Linked DNA regions of Saccharomyces cerevisiae S288C. Each later gene encodes a partner of the first gene's protein in a complex. Each region holds a gene or a part of one and is shown on either strand. Other genes may lie near its edges. The genes, in order: TAE1 and RPS25A. A codon is read from its position in the direction of its gene.

Region 1 (3,252 bases):
GTTGGTATTCTTTGAATTCTGGAGACATCGCTTGCTTTAATGCCACTGCCATTGCACCGATAGTATGGTTGTGAGGACCACCTTGATGTCCTGGGAAAACTGAGAAGTTGATTTTCTTTTCTAACTCATATGGGATTTCCTTGCCCTTTTTGGTGACAGACTTGATACCCTTTCTGAAGAAAATCATAGCACCTCTTGGGCCTCTCAAGGACTTGTGAGTGGTTGTGGTAACTATATCGGAATGTTCAAATGGAGATGGGACAACATTGGCTGCCACCAAACCGGATATGTGTGCCATATCACTCATCAAATATGCGCCGCATCCTTGGGAAATTTCCTTGAATCTAGCGTAGTCTATTAATCTCGAGTACGCGGAAGTACCGGCCACGATCACCTTTGGTCTGAATGCCTTGGCCAATACTTGCAAGTTATCGTAATCGATTAGCCCCGTAGTGTGGTCGACATGGTATGGCATACTTTGGAAGTATTTGGAAATGAAAGAAATTGGCGTTCCTGACTTAAGTTGGTACCCGTGAGACAAGTGACCACCATCTGGCAAATCCAATCCCATTAATCTTTCACCAACGTTCATGATAGCGGAGTAAACATACAAATTGGCAGGTGCCCCGCTTAATGGTTGAACATTAACTCCCCACTTGGCAGGGTCTAATCCGTACAGTTCCAGAGCTCTTGCTTGACACAAGGATTCGGACTTATCGATGATTTCGTTACCTCCGTAGTATCTTTCACCTGGATAACCTTCAGAATACTTGTTTTGGAGCTCAGAACCTAGCAAATCCATAACGGCCTTCGAGGTGAAGTTTTCTGATGGGATAAGGGTGATAGAGTGTTTTTGTCTGTGACGTTCTTGTTGCAAGATGTCAAACATCTCTGGATCTCCCTCCGAGACTGGTTTGGAGACTAGCGATTGTGCACCACTGGTGAGTAGCCCACGACGATGAACAGTTGCCATACATTTGGCCAATGCAGAAGCTCTGGGAAACATGATTGAAAGACTATGAGACTCGATGTGGAAATGTCGGCTTGATGATTTTTGATAGTTTGCTCTTCTCCAAGAGGCGATGGCTTTTAGTATTTTTTTTCTCATTGACCACCAATAAGCGAAGTACCTAAAAAAAAATAATGAGTCTTTTTTATATTCTATCTCTTGGACAGAAGGGGGACAGAACAGACAGTGGACTAAGAACCAGCAGATAACGGAGAGAATCATGTCGAAATTGGGTCCGTTAGCAAGATCTGTGAAGTGGACTCTCTCTGTGGGAGTAATCGGTTCTGTTTTTTACCTGTACCGATACAGTAACAATGGCTACTTCTACGATCACGATGCTACATGGTTGAAACAAGATCATCAGGTACAGGACCTGGTGGATAGAAAAGAAGTGGTACCTGGGGAGACCAGGAACCGCAAGCTAGTTGTGACGGATGATGGCACTGCATGGAGCAGGACCATGGGGGAGAGCATAAAAGATATTTGGAATGAACAGATAAGAAACTCTGTCGATTGGATCTACTCCTGGGGTAAGAATTAGCGAGCTTTCTATTTCTCCTACTGTAACGAACATCCTCATGTATATAACCTATTGTAACGACTCTGTGTAGAACTTTATATTCAGAAAAAATATCAAAAGAAAAATTTAATTATTAATCAGTACTTTTCACTCTGGTAATGTGCATCGGTGTCAAGAGCATCTCCAAGAAAGAATACATAAACAACAACGATGGACGTGCCTGCAGATTCCCATATCAAATACGAAGATGCCATCGACTATTGGACGGATGTGGACGCCACTGTGGATGGTGTTCTAGGTGGATACGGAGAAGGTACAGTAGTACCCACAATGGATGTCCTGGGATCCAATAACTTCCTGCGTAAACTGAAGTCGAGGATGCTGCCTCAGGAGAACAACGTGAAGTACGCTGTAGACATTGGTGCGGGGATTGGACGTGTAAGCAAGACCATGCTTCACAAGCACGCCGCTAAGATAGACCTTGTAGAACCGGTAAAGCCTTTTATCGAGCAAATGCACGTTGAATTGGCTGAGCTGAAAGACAAAGGCCAAATTGGACAAATATATGAAGTAGGGATGCAGGACTGGACCCCCGATGCCGGCAAGTACTGGCTGATCTGGTGCCAATGGTGCGTGGGACACCTGCCAGATGCAGAACTCGTCGCATTCCTGAAAAGATGTATTGTTGGTTTGCAACCTAATGGGACAATCGTGGTCAAAGAAAATAACACACCTACAGATACCGATGATTTCGACGAAACGGATTCTTCGGTCACAAGGTCAGATGCTAAGTTCAGGCAAATCTTCGAAGAAGCTGGCCTAAAGCTCATCGCCAGTGAAAGACAACGTGGCTTACCAAGAGAATTGTACCCAGTGAGGATGTACGCACTCAAGCCCATGCCAAACTAGGATCAAGGATGCATAGATTTATATAGATACGCCCCTTTTCTTGTGCTGGCATTCACCATTTGTGCCATTATATAGACTTTTTTTTCGATATATATGGAAAAAGAACCCAGAAAATAAAGAATGTGAACAAAATAGTATGTAAAGTAAAAACATACAATCTCGGAAGATTAAAAGAGAAGTGATATAGACAAGATGGAAGAGACTGCGAAGAAACCAGCTAGTGCCACAGTAAGTGCGAAGTCGTCGCACGATGGTGGCACCGACGATTTGGCGCACCTTTTTAGCACGCCAGAGATCAAGAAGGTGCTAAATTCCGATGTGGCAATTAACGCTTTGTTGAGCCGTTTAAAGCAGTCGTTGTTGACTTGTGAAGAGTTTATGAAATTTATTAGAAAGAAATACGCCTTCGAAGAAGAGCACGTTCAGGAGCTCTCCAAGCAATATAAGCACTTTTTCAACATTCAGGGTTCCACAAATTCATCCTTAAAAAAGATGATTCACGAAGTTTTGGGATTCGATGGCAAGATGGCTCAAGTAAAGCAGAGTTATATCACCGCCTTGCAGAAAATGTACTCCGAGATTAGTAGTCTTTTATTAACAATGACAAAATTAAGAAAGTCTGTCAAGGAGAACAGCAAAAGGCTGGAAAAGGATGTTTCTGATGCCATACACAGCGCAGAAAAGGCGCAATCTCGTTACAATTCGTTGTGCCAAGATTGGGACAAATTGAGGATGACTGACCCAACAAAAACAAAGCTGACCTTGAGAGGTTCCAAAACTACGAAGGAACAAGAAGAAGAATTGTTAAGAAAAA
Region 2 (2,972 bases), on another chromosome or scaffold:
ACCAGATGGATTGGCTTGGTTTTGGGTCATCATGCACTGCTGTGGGTACGGCCCATTCTGTGGTGAATGTGACTGAGCAGTTTGAGGAGAGGCATGATGGGGGTTCTCTGGAACAGCTGATGAAGCAGGTGTTGTTGTCTGTTGAGAGTTAGCCTTAGTGGAAGCCTTCTCACATTCTTCTGTTTTGGAAGCTGAAACGTCTAACGGATCTTGATTTGTGTGGACTTCCTTAGAAGTAACCGAAGCACAGGCGCTACCATGAGAAATATGTGAATGTTGAGATAATTGTTGGGATTCCATTGTTGATAAAGGCTATAATATTAGGTATACAGAATATACTAGAAGTTCTCCTCGAGGATATAGGAATCCTCAAAATGGAATCTATATTTCTACATACTAATATTACGATTATTCCTCATTCCGTTTTATATGTTTATATTCATTGATCCTATTACATTATCAATCCTTGCGTTTCAGCTTCCTCTAACTTCGATGACAGCTTCTCATAACTTATGTCATCATCTTAACACCGTATATGATAATATATTGATAATATAACTATTAGTTGATAGACGATAGTGGATTTTTATTCCAACAGAGAAAAAGTCATCAGATTCAATGGAAGCTGAAGCACTAGGATTAATAATGTTATGGAATTATGAACTACAACATAGAAAACAGTAAAAGAAAATAAAAATAACGTAATATTAGAAATACCGATTCCCTTATGAGGATTACTATATCGTCGAGTAGAGTATCTAGTGTATTTTGTATACCTAATTACAGCTTTGCAAGGAATTCCAAAAATTACCTTTGAAAAATGGGGGAATGTTGAGATAATTGTTGGGATTCCATTGTTGATAAAGGCTATAATATTAGGTATACAGAATATACTAGAAGTTCTCCTCAAGGATATAGGAATCCTCAAAATGGAATCTATATTTCTACATACTAATATTACGATTATTCCTCATTCCGTTTTATATGTTTCATTATCCTATTACATTATCAATCCTTGCACTTCAGCTTCCTCTAACTTCGATGACAGCTTCTCATAACTTATGTCATCATCTTAACACCGTATATGATAATATATTGATAATATAACTATTAGTTGATAGACGATAGTGGATTTTTATTCCAACAACCTTGATATCTAAATATCCACAAGAATTAAACTAAAACAAGCCGATATATCACTCCAAATACTTTATTAAGGTGGTTGATTGAGCTAAATAGTTCTTGCCTCTTCAGTTCAATATAATGAATAGTACTTTGTACACTGAGTGGATTCTAGCCCGCTCAAAATAATATAAAGCAAAATTCTATATTTTATATATGCATCCGTGCATTTGTGTAACCCATTCACCCATAAAGAGGTTCATTTACCCTGTAACGCGCGAAGACAAAAAAACGAAGGACGCCTTCTACAGGAAGAATTGTGCGACAGAACAACTTCACGAAGTATCTCTTAAAGTTCACGAAGCATTTAATACTATTAAGATTGCTCAGTTGAATATTGAAATCGTATTCTTTGTTATCGAAAACCGTCAAGCCCTGTTAGTTTTAGTGTATGTATCTATAAATTTGAAACCAATATTAGGCGGATAAGATGAAATAGTGACTGGCCAATCCAGGATTTAATATGTCATAAAAGCCTGTTCTACCTTAATGGGATGAATATCCATGTCTCTGTTATATGCTCCATAGCACAGATCTAGCTACCCATGGTACTTTGAGAGAAGGAAACTACGTACTTAGTGGTGATTTACAGTTAAATTCAATCTACAATTCAAGTCATTAGCAAATAGTCTTTATCCCAAATTCTACTAGAGTTCGGTTTTTTACTAACAAGTATGTTTTTACTTTTTACTTTATCATAGAACATTTAATAAATCATGCCTCCAAAGCAACAATTATCTAAAGCTGCCAAAGCCGCTGCTGCCCTTGCTGGTGGTAAGAAGTCTAAGAAGAAGTGGTCCAAAAAGTCCATGAAAGACAGAGCTCAACACGCTGTCATTTTAGACCAAGAGAAGTACGACAGAATCTTGAAGGAAGTTCCAACTTACAGATACGTTTCTGTCTCTGTTTTGGTCGACAGATTAAAGATTGGTGGTTCTTTAGCTAGAATTGCTTTGAGACACTTGGAAAAGGAAGGTATCATCAAGCCAATCTCCAAGCACTCCAAGCAAGCTATCTACACCAGAGCTACTGCTTCTGAATAAACAGGGAACGGGTTATATAATTTTAAATAATCTGTATTTTCAATAATATTTTTATGTATGTTTATTTGCACGTCACGTTTGTGTTATGGAAGACATCATTCAGGAAGTGATACATACAATAGTCTAAAAAAAAAAGGAACATTAACGGCTGAAAAGTCAGAAATGAGGTATAAAACGGTATTTAAGAGAATTGATTAAATTGTATGTATGCCGTCCATTTCTGTACGAGCGTTAGTGGCCAAAAAAGGTAAGAGGAGAGGAAAATAAGTAAACGAACATGACATCTGGTCATCTTAAGTTAGAGAATTTCTTACGCGTATCTGGCAACTTCTTCTGTTCTCTTTTCGTGCTCCTTCATTTTCATATAAATAAAGTTCTTTATAACCTGCCATTTGTCTCTATATTTTTTGGGGACGTATTTTTCAAACTTGACAAGTAACTCCAAAACAGCCACTTGTGCGTATGGAGAGAAGTTCAACCTCAACCAATAAATACCAACATAAATGACGAGCATAAATCCGGATGTACCCGTCTTAAACAATATAGTGTCTAGTGTTAGCGCTAAGATAACAAGTAATTCAGAGTACGCAAGTAAGTGTAGCATTTTTCTGTCTTTGGGTGTTAAAGGGATCTTTTCTTCTTTGTTAGCATTCAATTCGTAGTTCATTTTAGTTAGGTGTAGATAACTTAAAATCATGTAAGGCAAAATCTTGTAAAAAGACTTACCACCACCAAAGAACCATAAAC

Evidence for each region.
Region 2: the proteins of TAE1 (region 1) and RPS25A are in contact, whole or in part, in a crystal structure (PDB 7D8D), measured with the Saccharomyces cerevisiae proteins. Residues at the interface, in NP_009820.1 of Saccharomyces cerevisiae: Trp18 (codon at 1,791), Val28 (codon at 1,821), Leu29 (codon at 1,824), Gly30 (codon at 1,827), Tyr32 (codon at 1,833), Val38 (codon at 1,851), Trp140 (codon at 2,157), Asn172 (codon at 2,253), Pro175 (codon at 2,262), Asp180 (codon at 2,277), Asp182 (codon at 2,283), Asp185 (codon at 2,292), Ser187 (codon at 2,298), Glu218 (codon at 2,391), Leu219 (codon at 2,394), Tyr220 (codon at 2,397), Pro221 (codon at 2,400); in NP_011541.1 of Saccharomyces cerevisiae: Pro2 (codon at 1,902), Pro3 (codon at 1,905), Lys4 (codon at 1,908), Gln5 (codon at 1,911), Gln6 (codon at 1,914), Leu7 (codon at 1,917).

The regions. Positions count from the first base shown.
Region 1 is NC_001134.8:734,018-737,269, reverse strand, and holds TAE1 (N-terminal protein methyltransferase), read left to right. Parts: upstream 1-1,739; coding exon 1,740-2,438; downstream 2,439-3,252. Other genes in the region: glycine hydroxymethyltransferase SHM1, read right to left, coding at 1-1,006; MIC12 (Mic12p), read left to right, coding at 1,230-1,550; GTPase-activating protein RGD1, read left to right, coding at 2,631-3,252. UniProt on the Saccharomyces cerevisiae protein: Alpha-N-methyltransferase that methylates the N-terminus of target proteins containing the N-terminal motif [Ala/Pro/Ser]-Pro-Lys when the initiator Met is cleaved.
Region 2 is NC_001139.9:533,385-536,356, reverse strand, and holds RPS25A (40S ribosomal protein eS25 RPS25A), read left to right. Parts: upstream 1-1,898; coding exon 1,899-2,225; downstream 2,226-2,972. Other genes in the region: YGR027W-A (gag protein), read right to left, coding at 1-300; YGR026W (uncharacterized protein), read right to left, coding at 2,536-2,972. UniProt on the Saccharomyces cerevisiae protein: Component of the ribosome, a large ribonucleoprotein complex responsible for the synthesis of proteins in the cell.